2 linked regions of the Alligator mississippiensis genome follow. The protein of the gene in region 1 purifies or fractionates together with the protein of each later gene. This does not show direct contact. Links are inferred from orthologs where the notes say so. Each region holds a gene or a part of one and is shown on either strand. Other genes may lie near its edges. The genes, in order: ABCC1 and VDAC3.

Region 1 (9,443 bases):
TTGCAACAAAAATAAGGGTTGTGGGTTTTACTTGTAATATTAAAAGAATCTGTCAGAACTGATTTGGGTGCTGGTTGTTTTGAGGTACTGTTGAAGAAAGGGGCTGCCAGTGAGTGTGGAGGCCTGATGCAGTTCTCCTTGCATGTCTGGACCCTGGCCTACAAGGTAGGAGGAATGACCTGGTCTAGATTGTCTTGCCAGGCTTTGGTAGTTTGGAATCGTGAGCTATTTACTTATGGTGGCCTCTACGGGCAAGTGCACCATTTCTAAGTGCCTGTTGCCACAACAAAACTTCTGCATGTCATAGCTTTGCGTAAGACATCCTGAATCATTTCTGATAGAGATGTCTCGGCCACACCCTGGAAGGAGAGTTGTGGATTATAGTGGGGGTGAAATCATCTGACCAAAGTCCTTTTAATGTAGTGGGAAATTTTTACTAGCTGGTACCTGGAAGCCACCAAGAGCACTTCCTCTATTACACCGTATAATTCATGCTTAGTGTAAACCAGTGGAATTGCTGTAGTGGGGGCAGTAGCTCTGCTTTTAGGATAGCGTTCTGGCGATTGGCTTTTTCATTTCCATTGTCCATTACCTCACCAAGGGTGTGTTTCACTGACAGAGATCCACAGAGGAGTGAGTACACTATTTCCCTCCTGTCCTTCCTTTTAGTCTCTGTGGGGCAGACCTGTAGCATCCACAGGTGGTGGATAGTGGAATGACCTTCAGGGAAGGTTAGCCATGAAATAAGCAGGGGTAACTGAAGAATAAGCACCAAGCAGCAGCAGCACCACCAGGATGTGATGGGGACAGCAAATGGCAAAGGTTTCCCTCCTGAAAAGCCATGTGTATCCTCTGACCGTGCTGTGACATGATGAGTACAGGTCACCACTATAATAAGCCTGCCTAGCTCCTAGCTATGGGTCTACAGTCCTCAACCGCAAAGCAGGTGGAAGAAAATGTTAGAATCTGAATGGCTGGGGAGGCAGATGAAGGCTGCAACTGAACGAGATCCACAGCTGTCTTGGTCTCCCTGCCATTGGATTAATGTCCCATTCTGTCATGAGCTGTGTGAAAGCTGATATGCAGCAGCTTTTCCAAAATAAAAGAAGTCACGCACAGGCGTCTTCCATGCCTTTTAGTCTTTCTGTTTTTCAGATTGTTTTTCTTTCTCTCTGGCAAACAGTCCAAAGTAGAACTTTTTTTCATATTCTCAAATAAATGTGTATCCCATGAATTTTGTTGTGTCTTTTCTGTGTGCAAAGCAAGATTTCATTTGTTTTGTATTTTTGCACTGCTTGAGCCCATATTTGTTTTCATCTTCCCTGTTCCACTCATTAGATGCTGCATCTGATGGAAAATTCTTGGTGTTCTTTTTGTTGCTGTTTCTGAATTCTTCCACTGCTTTCACCCTCATCCCATTATGGTGGCACGATATAATTTAATTTTATTTAGAATTTCTATAAGAAACATCTGAAAGCTTAGTTAAGGAACTAATTAAGCTTCTTTTGGATTCAATAGGATTTTGAGGCCTCTTAAGGCCGCCGTTCCTGATGAGTATTTATCACTTATGAAATAGTACAGATGAGAATAACCTTTTAAAAAAATAATATTTATTACAGATACTCCATGAATGTTCAATCTTACCAATTTACTCCCCAATAATACAGACTTGTATCTACATACAATGATAGCCTCTTCTCCAAAACCAGCTAATTGCCCAATATAGCAAGATTTCAAGATGTTCTCTAAACAACCAGATTATCTACAATCGGACAAAAAGTATGGACATATTCATTTTCATGTGCAAACCTCAAGGAAAAATATTAATATATTTTGTTTAAGACCCAAACTAGGAATAAATAGAAAAAAATTATAGAATTAAACTAACTTTTCTTCAGATGAAATAATAATTCAGGTGTCTTAGGTTATTTAGAAATACTGTATTACTAGGAAGAGAGAGCTTTTATTTATGTTAGAAAGGTTTGGCAATTTTGAAGTTAAGCTATACAGTAGACTTGTTCTGGTTGGTTGGTTATTAGCCATCTCTGTGTTTTTAATGTCCTGAAAAAAACTTCTTTAGAATAGAAAGAACAGTAAAAGTTGAAATTGTTATCTGTGGCACGACTGCTTGATAATCAAAGGAAAATGATCCTTTTAATATCTTCCATCTTAGTTGAGTCTTGAAAGTGTAACGGAAGAGGTGTTTTTTGCAGACATCCTAGCATATAACTGGACAGAAATGAGGGACAGAAGGCGAGGAAGAGGAAAAATGTGTCCTGTTCACATTCCTGACTTCATACTTTTTTGTTTTTCATACTTGTTTTTTCTCCTAGTAGAGAATAGAACTTCCCGTCTTTATTCAGTGCCACTAATTATGCAGTAACTAACTCCAAAACGTCATGTTAGGCTGAAGAATAACTTATGAATTTGTCATCGGTAGCAGTAGTAGTAGTTGTTCAGTACATACATAGCCATGAGAGAGACCTACTACAGTGTTTGTAGATGTGTCCTGATTCTTTACAAGCGAGATTGGTAACCTACCAGATGTGTATGGTATTGATGTGGGTCATCATGGATGGTAAAGAGATACTTTAACAACCTTGCCAGGTAGTGTTATTGGTATGAGATGATGAAAGAAGGGGATGCAAAAATATATTTAAAAGAGTTTTCCTGACCAAACATTCCCTTGCAGTATTGCAAAGCAACCTTTCTAATGTCATCGTATAAACTGAACAAACAAAAAAAATTACACAAATGTAGTTCCACCTTTGGCTGTTGGGTTTACTTGTCTGATCACGTTTCTTTTTCCTGGATCACCTTCTGCTGCTAGATGGGTGACCAAACACAAGTGCATGGCTAGACAGACAAAAAAATGGCTGTTTGGGTGAAAATCTGACCCCACATTGCATGTATAGTGGTATATATAATGCCATGTATGTATACTGACATGTACATGAACATTGATGTCTACCACCTATTCTTTTTGATGTGAAATTGGGGCATCAAGTCTGATTTTGAAGGTGCACCTAGAATAGATGAACAGTCGATCCATTGCTCAAGGTTATACAATGCAGCTCCTTCTGCCTTCAGAGATGCTCAAGTGTAAATAAGATTGCTGACAAACCCATCTACTTTATTGCTTAATTACATCAGCTTTGCAAGGAAATTGTTACAATGAAGTTTCTTACCAAATGATTATTCCTAAAGGCTGCTAATAATTAATCACAGCTATGTGGTACTGCTCCTATTTTGCCCTGTCTTGACACATACAGGTTTCCCTTGATTTATGCTGTACATACGTTCCCGGAGACCGGCGCATAAACTGAATTTGTATAAAGTGAACCCGCTTTATAATGTAACAAATAGGGATAGGTTTCCATGGCGGTGAGGGAGGGAGCGAGGCTGAGACTAGGGAAGGGGCAGGGAGAGGGGTGCGCAAGGCAGCAAAGCAGAGGAAACAGCGGCACGCACCCCAGCCCTGGCTGCAGCAGCCCTGGGAGCAGCTGGCGTCTGCTGCCTGCAGCTGCTGGGCTGCACTGTGCTCTGCCTGTCCCCACTCACCTCTTCTCCTGGGCTGGGCCGTGTCCTGGTGCTGGCAGCTGGTGTCGGCTGCTCCCGGGGCCGCTGCAGCCGGGGCTGGGGTGAGTGGGGACATGGCCCTTTCTCCTCCCCCCGCCCCAGACTTACCTGCTTGGGCGGGGGACATCTACACTGATCACATAACAGTGAATTTACCTTGCATATAACAAATCATGGGTCTAAATATGCTCGTTGCATAAGAGCAAATTTGTATATAAAGAACCCGCATAAATCGAGGGAAACCTGTATAGTACCATTGCTGCAGACAATGTAGCCCTGAAGGACATAACTTCAGGACTGAAAAAAATGTTGCCCTTATCAGAAGTATGTACTTAATGTAAACACTACTCATTAAGTAGGCAGGGGTTTAGGTTGTAGCCGTGTTGGTCTAAGGATATAGGCAGACAAGGTTCCTTGGGTGAATTTGAAATCTTTTATTAGACCAACCCAAATGGTTGGAGAATAGTTATTAAGCAAGCTTTCGGGTTCAAAAACCCTTCATCAGGCTAAGGAAGCTGCAGCAGTTGGTGTGTGCTCTTCCTGGATTAAGTAGGCAGCACTCCAGTACTGGAAACTAGTCAGTTCCACAACTGCCCCCAGCCTGGTGACCAACCTGCAGCCTGGGTGCCACAAGTGGCCCAGAGGGTTCAGAAAGAAGTGACAATTTTTGCTTCATCTGGCCACAGAAAGTGGTCTATAGCTGTGACCAAACACAAGTGCATGGCTACAAACTGCTTTAAAAAACTGGCTGTTCCTGTAAAAATCTGACCCCTCAGTGCATGAGCGGTCAGATGAAGATGTTTCAAAACAGAGCATCCTCTGTAACTTGTCTGCATTGCCTGCCAGCCTCGAGCTGTTTAAGAATGGGGGTGAGGGGAGGAGGAAGGGAGCAGATGGAGTTTGGTCTGGGGGCTTTTCAGCCCCTGCTGGAGGGTGGGGCGGGGCGGGGAGGGGGGTTCCAGTTCACCAACCCTCCCTCTAGAGCTGGCTGGGGAACCCCTAGACCTCTGCTGCCTTCCCCCTTCCTATTCTGAAAAAGGGACAGGCTGGGAGAGAAGAGGGGCTGTCACTATGGGAAACTGGCTGCAGACTAAAACTAGCAGCTAGATTCCCCAGCCTGGAGCCAACAGTGATCTCGTGTTCATTCCCAGGGCTTGCTGTAACTCCGCAGCCTTCCTGCAAAGCGTTCTCAGTTACAGCGGGGAGTTGCACTTCTGTCCGTGCCCTGATGAATGTCCCCTCCACTACAGGCCTATTTGTCACCCTTTAAAACACTTGGGCTAAGCCCACCCAGTCTCTCACTGGCCTCCCTTAACAGGGAGGCTACAGGAAAAGGGGACAACAAATTACTTGGGACAAACAATGACAAAAACAGGCCCTTAGCAACAGGACTCCCAGCCCCAGCTGGGCATCAATGGCGATGCATAGCATGTACACCCCCTGAGATTGGCGGTGCACCGGCTGGAAGAAGTGTTGCCACCCCACTCCCCCTCACTGCCGACGGCATCCACAGGTGGTCGCCGATGGCTGCGGGCGGTCCCTGCTTGCCACCCCCTGCTGCAGCTCCCCACTTGCTGCCACCACCTGTGGGTGGTCGCCGTGTCCCCCAGCCTCGGGGGCACACATGGTTCACGCGGGGCATGGTGCACCGCTGTGGCTGGGAGCCCATCCACTGCCCAGGCCCTGCCGCAGGGCAGACCCTTGTGCCGCTGCCAGCTGAGGTTGGATCAGAAGCACCCAGCAAGCCAGCAGCTCATTTCTGAGGGGCGAACTTGACATCTGGCGGAAGGTTTTGCCCCGGGGACAGCCCCTCCGCAGGTGCAGCGGCCTCCGGGCGGTTCACCAGCGAGGTGCAAAGGGGCTCGACAAAGAGAGGTTAGCGCTGGAAGGCGCGTCCCGGCGGCCTCCGCCCGTACTGAGAGCAGGCCCGGGAAGGCCGCGGGAGCAGCACGGAGCCGGGCGGGCGGGCGAGCCCCCAGAGGCGCCCCGGGAGCATCAGGTGCCTCCGGCCGGGCGGCGCCTCCCGGCGAGCGCTCCGCATCCCCGTGACCGAGCAGCCAATCGGCAGCGCGCGGCCGCCCCCGCTCTCGCTAGCTCGCTCTCTCTCTCTCTCTCTCCTCCGGCCGCCGCCGCCGGGCTGGGAGCGGGAGCCGCCGCCGCGCTCCATGGGGGGCCCGGACTTCTGCAGCGCCAGCGGCTCCGACCTCTTCTGGGTAAGCGGGGGGCGCTCCTCGGGCCCGGCCCGGCCCGGCGCTGTGTCACGGCCCGGCCGGGCAGGGCGCGGGGCTCTTCCTTCCCTCGGCCCCCCCAGGGCCGCTCCCATCCCTGCCCTCTGCAGCTCTGCTTTCCGCTCCCAGCCACGTGCTCCCCGGCCCTGCTGCTGCTCTGCTCTGCTCCCTTCCCCGAGCGGGCTGCTGCTCCGCTTTCCGCTCCCAGCCCTGCCCTGCCCGTCCCCTCTGGCCCTGCTGTGTCACACGCGGAGACCGCTCGTGACCCCTGTGCCACCCCGGCACGCGTGCTCCTCTGTGTTTGCTGGACTAGTGGGCTTTTTTCGTTGCCCAGTCCAAACTGGGACTGGCTGCAGCAGGTGTGTGGAGCCGGCGGGTAGACGTACACCTCCCTGCCCCTAAGGCGGCTGTCTGGTGCCCTGGGCTGATAAGAAGTGCTGTCCTTTCTTGCCTGACGTCACCTTCAGCGCAAGACAAACAGCAACAGCCTGGGTGTGGAGAAGCATTTGGGAGTGTTTTGCTAAGGGATTGGAGCCCCCCTGCCTTTGGTGGGGATCCGGGGGGGGGGGGGGGAGACGGCAGACACGCAGCTCCTGGATTGGCTCTGAAGTGGAGCTCGATCCCCTACCCCCTGATGCAACACCACGTGTCTGTTGGGTTCAGGAGGGGATCGCTCTTAAGAATTGCTCGCTGGGTTGAGGACCACGTTTCCCTGGGCGTCTGTCTGGTCTAGCGCCCAGCAGATTCAACTGTTCATCCTCAGGGGGCTTTTAGGGGTCTACTGCAGCATAAATGTTGGATCCTCAATTCTGCTGACGTTCTTGCTGGATGACCATTATTATTATAACAAAATTGGATACCATTATCATAAGTACTAGTCGCAACAGGAAAGATGCACATCTGATAGCTGTTTCTAGTTTATGTTCAGGTGAATAACCACAACTGAGCATCTCCGCTCCGCTCCGAAGATGTGCGCTCCCCGTAGTCTGGGCCTGTATAGATGTATATCACTTATTTCAAGCTTCCGAATAGTGAAACGCTTGCAAGATTTGGGACTTGGCGTCCCTTGGGTGTTTACAGGTTGGGAACCTGCTTTCCTAAATGAAAACGAATTGTGCAAGATGGAATAGTTACTAATCCAGCTTGTCTGGACTGCAAGAGTCCTGTGATGATGTAGCTCCCTTGGGGCAGCCATCTGCATTACTTGCTTGCCCTATAATTTTAATTTTAATGTCTGTTAAAGTTTTATCTATGCACACAAAGTGCACCAGGCTGCTGGGCTGCTTGTGGAATTCAGAGCGGCATTTTCTTTAGACAAACTTGTAAATATCGTGAGTTAGTTTTAGTTTTCTTGAAAATTTTCAAATTCAAGGAATAGTAAAAGGGTTTTTTTGTTTTGTTTCTTTTTCTTCTCTGTGTGAAACTTAAGTTCAAACAAAGTTTCCCTTGCTGCAGTCAGCTTTTGCAGAACTCAAGCTTTAATTGAAAAGTCGTTGGCCTTTGTGAAGCTCAATGTCCCAAATACGAATCGAGTGCGTACGACAGAGTGGGGATTTTGCTTAGCCTGCAGACGTACTGAGTCTGTGGCTTTGCTGCAGCTGCTGAAGCTTTATAGGTTTCCTATTGTTGCAGTGGGCTAGTTATGAGCAGGGTAAAATAGCAGAGCAGTTATGAGCAGTAAAATAGCTCACAAATGACCTTGTAGCAAGGAAAGTGTCTTTCATGTTGGTCTGTTGCTGTCTGGTTGGGTGGGTGCCTGTTTACTTTTCAGGCATGTTGCATGAAGTTTGATAAGGGGCTGGAGGCTGAGTATAACTTTAGAGAAGTGAAGTATAATATGGAGGGGGAAATGAAAGGGATGAGGAGGAACGTATGGTGTAAGGAATAGAAAGAGAAAGTGAGAATGTGGGGTGAACGTAAGGTAAGAAAAGAAATATTGTACTAAGGAGGGCATTGACATTATTTTTAGAGATTTAATGCTTAGGGCTGCTGAGCTTTTTTTCTATCTATTTAATAAATTTTACAAGTATTTATCAAATAATGTAACTGTCAAATAGTATTTGAGCACCTAATAAGCCGGCTGAATAATGGGTAAGAATTTGCCAGAAAAATAACTCAAATATCAATGTCATTTAGCAGGCTCAACAGCTGTTCAAATACCATGGGGAATACCATTTGCTGACTAGTATTGGTGATATTAAATGAAGTCATTAGGCTTCAGCTACAAAACTGTTGACATGTTTGCACTTTATCACAATATAGAATAAATAATACAGAATTTTCCACTGGAACTGTTTGTAGTTAGTTGGGCTGCGCTTGGTGACCCTGGCATGTCTTTGGGCAGATAGATCCCATGATTATACAAAAGTCCAAATGGGAAGGACCTCATGGGGTTATCTATTCTCATCTCCTGCTCAAGTCAGGATCATCCCTGACTGAATGAATGATGTTAGAGGAATCTTTGCAGATTTGTAGCCTGATTCGCTTGTAAATTGGCATACATACATACTGTAGGTAGATAGATTGATAGATACTATTGATTTTTAAGGTTCTATATGTAGGCTTTTTCTCCTAATTTAAAAATCCTAAATTCAAAATTTAAAAGTTGGGCATGTAACTTATTTTCACGATTGAATTGTGTGCCTTTGTATAACTTTTTCTAATTAGTTGGGTAACACACAAGCACTTTGAGTAGTTCAGCCTCCTATTGCTCTTGGATGCCTTCCAAAGCTTGAGAATTAGGACAAATTCTTATTCTGCTTGATCCAAGCCATGTTTTGGTGGCCTTAATTAAAAAGTTAAAGGTTATGTATGGTCATGTCCCCTTTCAGAATTAATTTGCAGTCCTTTTAAAATGGGTTAAATTATGAACAGGGATTAAGTGTGTGTGTGTGTGTGTGTGTGTCCTTTAGAGCAGTGTTTCCCAACCTTTTCCAGCCCCAGGCACACTTACGTTAAAGGTGTTTTTTCCGCAGCACACCTGTGAAGGCATTCCCCATCCTCATATCTATTGTAGCTCATTGCCATGGTAAAATTCTGTGGCACACCTGCTCATTTTTGATGGCACGCTTTTGTGCCATGGCACACTGGTTGTCAAACAATGCTTTAGAGAACTGAGTGATGTTTTATTATAATTGCTAAACTCTGGACCTCATATGTACATGTTGTAAGAATTATCTTCTAGTCATGATGTCAAACTTTTGGCTGTTGCACAGATATGAAGATAATAGTGCCAGTAGAATAGCATCTTACACTTGACCATCAAGTAGAAGGTGGCTGGAATAGAATTTGTGGTTCAGAAGCAGGTAGAAGATGCAGTAAATGGTTACAGGACACCTCCTTTCAGCTTAAATTGTGTAAGCGATGAGTCCCCTTGTGTTTAAAGTGAAATTACTGGAAATGACAGAAATATAAAACTGAAATTGGCAAGCCAGCAAAGAGATGTGCATCTTATCCAGTTTTGACAAATACATGTTACCAAAAACCCGTAAGAGCTTGAGCAGAATTTTAAATAACTAATCTTTGTGTTGGTCTTTTCAATCACATGACAAGTCTGATCCTGATTTGTATGAAAGATGCTATTGCTACCAAAGTGTTTTGAACTATTAATGTATACAATTCTGAAATGCAGCTACT
Region 2 (8,360 bases), on another chromosome or scaffold:
GTGAGTCCCTCCTCCTCTCTCCTCTGGCTTTGAGCATTTTAATGGTAATTTAGCTTTTCTGGCAAACACTTAAGCGTGATCGTTGGGGAATCCCAGCGAGCAGCACACGGCAAGTCAGGCCAGGGCTACAGTCGCAGCGCTGGAAGATTTCTGGCCCTTGAGCAACATCTTTGTGTCCCCGTCGAGAGCAGACCTGCCCCTCGTGGAGAACTGGCTTGCAGATCTTGGTCCAGAAATGGCGAGCGCAGCAAAGCCCTGTGGTGCAGTCTGATGTCCGGAGGCAGCTGTCTCCCTCTTGACCTGCACAAAATGTATCAACTCACCCTATACTTTTGCTCCTTCAAACACCATTTCTTGCTCACAGATCCCTCCCACCCACTCTTCCTTGTGAGAAAACACAGCCCCACCATTGGGGACCCATTGCCGCCTCCTCCTCCCACCCCAATTCTGGCTGTTTCCTAATTCCCTTTAGCTCTTTTGCCCTGTTCAAATGCTCTCAATTGACAGCAAAACTTTGGGGCTCACTGCAGCTTCCTGACAGGGTGTGGCTTGACTGCCTGTTCCTCAGGCAAAGAAGCTAAAGGAGACCTTAAACTGAGGTGTGACTTGCTCTAGGCCAGAGTCCTGATCTGTTCAGTTGTAGAACACCCCCACCCCCATCTCCTACACAGCCCTTGCTCTGATCCAGCTGCTTAGAAACCTGGAAGTGGGTTATTGGTTAAACTTCTAAGTACAAGCTGCCTGCTGGACACTTGGAACACAAGTGATATTTTCCTAACACAAAGATCTTTGTGCTGTTTCAACTGCCTGTCCTCTAGCATCACCACCCTGAAAGTCATCTTTATCTTCTCAGCAAGAAATTTAAGAGTCAGTGCCCTGCGTACAAAAGTTTACTGAGCGATAATCACAGCCAGGACTGCTGCTGCTGTTGCATTAATCTACAGGTTGTATACAGCCCTCCTTCCCCCTCTCCCCACTGTGGACATAACCCATCTTCTACCCTGGAAGTTTTTCACTAGTATAAGCTCATTTGTAGCTTACTCTTTAAATGCAAGCTCATTTGGATGGGGCTAGTCTTCCTCTCTCTGTCCTGATCTGAGCAAACATTTAGGCACGCACGTAAACATTTGCAGCTTTAGTCCTTTGTCTGTATGGTGATTAGCACAATGGGCCCCTGTGCTATCTGTGACTTAAGCACTATGCTAGTAAAAATAATGGAGTAGTAATAGTTCCTTCAAGCTTGCTGAATAACTGAGCTTTTGAAGCCTTAAACTCTTGAAACCCCTGCCACTGCTTTTCCTGTATTGCGATGGGTTAATTATATAAATTGCAGTATCCCTTGGTTAGTGTTAAAGGAACATTGCACACTTAGCTTTTTAGTTATGAATAACAAACTTATTTCCTATTACATAAGCATAATCAATCTGCTTGCCATTGTACATGATGCAAAATGTGAGGTCCCATGCTCACGAAGAGAGAAACAAATTGAACGTGTTTTATTTCTGAGCAAGTACATATATCAGTGTTTTTTTCTGGATGTTCTACTAACCAAACCCCAGTTCTTCCCCTCTTTGTAAGATGTTGACTGAATTATCTTAGGTGCTATTTTAATCTCAGTGGAGGAAACTATGTAGCTTTCTCCAGTGCGGCTCTCTCCAATGTATAGTTTTAAGGATTGCTGGAATCTGTCTGTTCACATTTCTTATGCAAACGAAGTAAAGTACAAACACTCTTTCCTAATGGGAGATTCCAGGCATCTCCACAGACTTTTACTTTTCTCTCTTCCCCTCCCCATCCTGCCATTTTGGTATACTTTATTCCTCTGCTGGAATATGATTTCCCCTCTTCTTCTTCAGCCCACATTACCTTTGCTATGTTGAGAGGTGACATTTACTTTCTTGGAAGAGTTTTCTTGGCTCTGATGCTGGGTTGTCCACTCCAGCTCAGAACCATCCTGCTCATCAGTCCTCCTTCCCTCCGTTCGGTTAACTTCTTCAGCCCGGCTGCAAATGTCTAGTGCAAAAAGGAGAAGGCTACAATTATGGATATCTATGGAGAGCGCTGGAATGCTGATACTGCTGTTTGGAGGGACCTTTCATAGCTGCATAGAGCTTTAAGGCTGGAAAACCCCCCAAACTTTCTTAGCAGCCAGTCTCACTTTTTTGCATAAAACACAGGCCACAGACCCTCTCTGTTAATATCGACATTAAGACCACAGATTCTGTTTAAGTTACAGCTTGTCTTTGAAAAGACATCCAGTCTGTACTCAAACACTTCAGGTGATGATGAAGAATCCAGCAGACCCCTGGGTAAGTGAGCCTAACTTGAATTAAAGTTAAAAGGTATCAATCTGATTTCTAGTCTGAATTTCAGCTGCCAACCATTAGAAGCTTTGTGTTAAATTAAAGAAGCTTCCCTTAGAAATAGTGGTAGACTGATCACTGCATCTCTTAACCTTTATCTCTTGGAAACTCTGCACAGATTATAACTGTAAGACTTTTATTCCCCACATCTTAATTCATTCTTGTAGCTTTCTTTTTAGTCAAAGTATTTCCTTATTGCTATACGGTGTAAATATGTTGCATTTCTTTCTAAATACAGAGCGACTTATAAAATGCTTTTTCCTTCGCTGTATCAGTATTTTCACTGTATTCTTAGCTAGCCTCTTGTGCCTCTTGTTAAAATTTAATTTCTTCCTGCTATAAGAAGATAAGTCTTCTGATAAGTCCCCTGAACATGCTGGCTATAGATCTGCCTCAGTTAGCTATGCTTCGTAACAAGGGCTTTGTTCTTATTACTATCAGCTTTGCTGTTCTTAATGCATTCAGCTGTGTATACAACACTGCAGTTTGTTTTGAAAAAGCTCCTAGTCTGCTGCATGACTCAGTTAAGAAAACTGCTTTGTAAAGAAAGGCCATAGGGATTAGATTCAACATTATCAAAAAGTAAATCTCTCAAAACCTCACCATCACTTCTGCAGTGTGCATGGTCCTTCCTGTTCTACTTTCACTATCCCTTTTAAGTACCAGGAATACATGAGTGTGAGAGCTTACCATTTAGACAAATAGACCCTGGGCAGCACATAGCACTGCGCTGGCATCTTCTCCGTAACCCAAGGCAGGTAGAGCAGAAAGGCATGCCATCCTGAGGAGTGAGACAGAATTTGCTTGCATTGCAGTCTTTGTCTGTCATGCATGGTGAGCTCTACAGAGAGAGAGGGAGGGAGGGAGAATGCTTATTTTCTTCAGAGGGAAAAACTCATGTTTATCAGCACCAGTAATAAAATGCTCTGCTGCTTGTACAGAAAGAGACTTGAGCCTCCTGTGCGTGTTAATGCAGAAATAAGACTTGCTAGTGTTCTGGCTCTGGCTCAGCATGTCTGGTGAAAAGGGCTGCAGCTGCATTCTTCATTAGGCCTTGTGCAGTGCTGGCTCTCAGCAAGTAGCAGTTCTTTCATAGTATTAGCATTATTATTTTAAAAGTAGCAGTCCTTCTACATTTCCTACTGCCCACAAGGGGCGGTGTTCATAGCACATGGCAATCTGGTAAGTGCCCTGATGCTACAGAGCAGGTCATTTTCTGAACTGAAAACAGGACTTGAGCCTCCTTTGCTTGCAGTCCTGGGCTCAGACCCTTAATGTAGTGCTCCGGGAAGGAGCTCATCAGCTCAGACAGGCTGCTGCCACCACTTGGCTTGTGTATATATAAGGAGTCTGTTTCCCCATGTCTTTTGAGAAGAGCCATGCACCCCCAGTCTCAGAATTTTCTCCACTTAGAAATCCCCGCGTCCAGCTGGATGTGCTCTAACGACAGCTGAATCTTGTCTGCTTAAGCTAGAGATGCAGCTGCACGTATTGCACAAGTCGGTCCGTTAGTATCGCAAAAGTAAGTCTATCCTCTTGCTTAATGTTTCTCTGCTCTGTGCCTGGCCCTGATCCAAACGGCCCTCCCCTCCTCTGGTTACAGCCTGAGAAACCAGCCAGATTCACGGCCCTCCCCACCAAATTAATTCAGCCCCTGGGCGCTCACCGTCTTGGGGCCGTGCACTTCTGCAGCGCTCTTGATGGTGTTGGAGTCCAGGACCAGGGCTACCAGCGGGGAACAGATGCAGCTGAGTGCCAGCAGCCAGACTGCGTCCATCCTTCAGACAGGCAAACCTGTGCCCAAGGGGTGCTGCAGCTCTGGCTGTTAGTTAAGTGGTGCTGGAGCGTTGAAGCCGAGCGAGGCAGTCTTTGCAAGAGACTGACCGTGAGAGAGAGACTTGCGGAGCCGTGGACAGGACTGCGGGGCTATTTATACCTAAGCTCGCTCTCCTTCCCATCGCCGCCTCCCGCTCTCACCTTGTTTCCTTTCTCTTCAGCCCACACAAGCTTCAGCAAAGCTCTTCAAATCTGTTGGATCAACACTTCAAAACAAGGCTTCAAGAGCTGGAGCAAGCAGGTAGGGCACCGGCTGAGCCCTCCTAATTACGGCCTATCCAGGAGTTCAAAGGGCTGAGAGAGAGGCAGGATGTGGTGCGCTCCCCGGCTAATCGCCTGCACTTCCGCCCTTCCCTTTGCCAAGCGCTTTGCGCTAAGCTCCGCGCGCTCCTTGTTCTCCGCGAGCCTGACTCATGGTGGCCGCGGGGCTGAGGCTGAGGCTGCGGCGGGAAGGGAAGGAAGCGCGTCGCTTTGCTCCGGCTTGCAGCCGCACGTGCTTCTGTCCGCGCGAACCGCCAGGGGGCGCCCGCACGTGCCGCGGGCGGACGGGCTGGAGGCGCCTAGTGCGCAAGCGCGCCCTGCTGGCCCGCGTGGAGCGCTCGCCTTCCCGCCCCCTCCTCCGGCGCGTCATTGCGCGGCGCCTGCGGTTACGTCAGCAGCGCGACGCGGAGGCCGCGGGCGTTTGCGGAGTCCTTCAGTCACACGGACGGACGGGCGCCGCTGCCAGGTACTGCGGGGCGGGACCGGGGCCGGGAACGGGCCGCGGCCTCCGCGCTGGGCTGGCCCGGGGGGCTGGGCGGCTGCGGCCTGTGGCGGGCGCGGCCAACGGCTGGTCCCGGCGCGCGGCGCGGGGCCCCGATGGGCGCGGCTGTTCCGGCCCGGGGCAGAGCAGGCCTTGCTGTGGGCCAGGAGCCGTGCCGCCCCTCCCCCCCCCCCCACACACATCTTCATATAGACGTGTAAAAGAAAGAGCGACGCTTTCACATTCCCGAAGCATGGCTGTGTTCAGAGCAACGCCAGAAATCATGAGTGGTGGCAGCACACCGCGTGGCCGAGGCAGGAAGCGGGGCTGTGCTGGGAACCAGGGCGTGGGAGTGGGGATGCTGCTCCAAGACGGTGGTGGGCCGGCAGGTCTCATCCTGCTGCTGCTTTTGCCTCCGAGGGGCTCTTCTGGGCTTGGCTTTTGCTAGTAAAAGTGCCTGCTGTTTAACAAAAAGGCATAACAAAGGCAAGACCTTCACCCTGGGAAGGTTTAAAAACCAATATGGGGGATACATGATAAGCATCGTTATCACGTATCCACTGTACCGGTTTTTAAACTTTTCCCAGGGTGAAGGTCTTGCCTCGGTTACGCCTTTTTATTAAATATCTAGTCCAGACCAGGTCACGGAGCTGTGTTGTAATAAGCGCAGCGAACAATCCCCCAGCAAGAGACTTGCAGATGAAAGAGCATCGGGCAGTCTTTTAAACCGTGTGATGCCTCTTGTTGCTGGGTGTAGAGCTTGATGAGTATTCAGTTGGAAGATTATTTGGGTGACAGTAGCGTCGATAAAGAAATGCAGCCATCATAACGGTTACCGCAATTCCTGCGGCGCAGTGTCAGTGTCGCTTGTCTTTTATCTTTAACAACGCATGCATCTTTTTTCCGTATTTGACAGGTAGAGAGGCATTTTATAACTTGACAGTTAAGAAGTACAGTAATTTATGACCTAAAGCTTCATATAAGGAGTCTGCAGTCATGTCCAGCTGTTCTAGACCTGCTAGACCCACAGGTATATACAGATAGATATGTGTGTATATATTTATACAGCATGGAAAGCCATCCTTAAGGTATCTGTGAGGGGAGTGGAAGTTATCTGAATGCTGCATCTAGGGAAAGGGGAAGACAAGGAATAGCGGGCACAAGCTGATTAAAGATTGCTTCAGACTGGACATAAGGAAAAACTAGTCGAGTGCTGAAGGTGTGGAACAGGCTCCCCCCAGAGGTGGTACAGTCACCCACCCTGGAGATCTTCAGAAAATGGCTTGGTGCCCACTTTGCTGGGCTTTCCTGCCCAAGTGCAGGGTGGCTGCTCCCAATGATCTTGTAAGGTCCCTTCCAGCCCCTAACATCTGTGAAAGGCCTACATTGTCCAGTTGCAAGGATGAGTTAATACAGAAACCTTGACACAAGAGAGCAAAAGCAGTTCTGCATTTGATTAGTCCTGTCTTTTCGAGGGCAGTGTTAGAAGCTGCTTGGTGCAAGAATTGATTTCTCATCCTACAAAGGTCAGAATAAAAATGGTCAGGTTTCTAGAAAGAACATGAGGAAGAAAAGTCCACCAGAAATCAGAAAGAGGCTTCTAAACAGTAGCATTGCTGTGTAGATCCAAGGAAAGGTAAATGGTTTGAAGGGAACTGGTGACTTTAGGAGGTAAAATCCTTGCATTGTTGTCTTGGATAAGAAAGAATTTCTGTCTGACATAATTTATCAACAAGAGCTGTTTCTAGTGGAGCTGTTGAGTAGAGGAATCTTAACAAATGAGCCTCTTTTAGGAAGGATTAAGAGACAGAGAGCTGCCATTAACAAAGTTCACCTGTGGGCTAGTCTGTTCTTCCTGAAACCACCCATCACAGTGGCATGATGGGTATCAGACCTTAAGGTCTAAATCTGCATTTCTGGGGTCTGTAGCTTCTATTCCAGAGCCATCTTTAATGTCAAAAAAGCATTTAGCTGCTGGGGAAAAGGGTATTACATACTTTTGAAAGAAATGATACATTTTGACAAGTCAAAAAGGCCAAGTAATTCAGTGTTAAAATTAACGCTTCTCTCTTTAGATTTGTGCCTCATGTGTTTGTGGATCTTGTTCTCTTAATTTTAATTTTGTTCAGACAGTTACGTATCTAGACCTTACTGCTGCCATCTTTTCTTTTCTGTATATTTTTGTAGAAACATCAGCAGGGTCGCCTCCCTGTTTTATAAACGGAAGTCCTTTTTATGTTTTCCCAAAGCTGTGGTGACTGCTTGAGGGGAGGAGCTGAGAACACCGGTGGGAGAAAAGAAAGTTTATTTTGAAGTGGCATGGAACAGCCATTGTAGCATATGTATGTTGGAGCGTGTGTATGTTATTTATCCAATATGGTATTAACTGAGGCACAAGGATCCTGTTGGAGTTAAATTTCACTCCTAGGATATGGTGTTTTGGGTGTAGATTGTTTTTTTTTAAATGTTCTGTGCAGATAAACCCCACTACCTTTCTGACAAAACCAGTGTTGGACTAAGGGAGGTCACTGAACACAGTAGAAGACTGCTGCCTTGCACCATGGTTTCTTTTCTGCTGGGTACCTTAAGTGCTTAGTGAGCTATGTTTTTTGTTTCTGTGTCATGAAATATGGGTTCTTCCCATTTCTTATCTCTTCAGACCCAATGGCTGTCCCACCATCGTACTGTGACCTGGGGAAATCTGCCAGAGATGTATTCAACAAGGGTTATGGTAAGTAGCATTATCATGTGTTGATTCTAATACAGTAGTGTAAGTGTGATGCTGTAGCCTTGGTAGTCCAGAAATTAGGCAAGAGGCAAGGATATCTTAGCATGGTATCTTTTTTTTTTTTAATCTCTTTTGGTAGTATTAACAAAGGCCAAGCTAAAATGTGGCAAAGTTCAGCTAAAAGGTTTCTCTTTTTAGAATAGAAATCTAGGAGCATTCAAGATGAAAGATAACTAAAATTATCCTTGGATACATAAATGGTGGACTGTCAAGTAGGAATAGGGAAGAAGTGGTATTGTCAGTGTGAGATCATGTCAAAACAGAGAAGAAGGACAAGGTCTTGAGAGAGCCTGCCTTGCTGTGAGATTTAAATGCCTCAATTTATTTAGCTTTTGAAAAGAAGAGACTAAAAGGTGAGTTTGATCCCAGTCTGTAATGGGGCGAATCTCTGATTGAGGGCTCTGGAAGAAAGGCAAAATAGAATGCAGAGGGAGTGCGAGTTTGGATACATTTGAGAGTGGGAAGAAGGAACAAATATTTAACATGTGGTTGATTAACCATTGGAATGGCATATTAAGGGGTGTGTTAAATCCTCTGTCTCTTGAGGACTTGTAAGATTAGATATCTTTCTAAAAATATGTCCTGGCTCAAACAAGTTATGAATGTGATGCAGGAATTACTAGATTAAATT

The links.
Region 2: the proteins of ABCC1 (region 1) and VDAC3 fractionate together in Homo sapiens (co-fractionation; 3 studies listed by BioGRID). This does not show direct contact. The link is inferred for Alligator mississippiensis from reciprocal best matches to the Homo sapiens genes ABCC1 and VDAC3.

The regions. Positions count from the first base shown.
Region 1 is NC_081836.1:43,011,441-43,020,883, forward strand, and holds the start of ABCC1 (multidrug resistance-associated protein 1), read left to right. Parts: upstream 1-5,499; 5' UTR 5,500-5,744; coding exon 5,745-5,792; intron 5,793-9,443.
Region 2 is NC_081830.1:17,208,367-17,216,726, reverse strand, and holds the start of VDAC3 (voltage-dependent anion-selective channel protein 3), read left to right. Parts: upstream 1-4,831; 5' UTR 4,832-4,926; intron 4,927-7,258; exon of another isoform or gene 7,259-7,283; intron 7,284-7,600; 5' UTR 7,601-7,605; coding exon 7,606-7,672; intron 7,673-8,360. Other genes in the region: DKK4 (dickkopf-related protein 4), read right to left, coding at 50-300, 1,867-2,013, 3,054-3,204, 4,030-4,140. UniProt on the Homo sapiens protein: Non-selective voltage-gated ion channel that mediates the transport of anions and cations through the mitochondrion outer membrane and plasma membrane.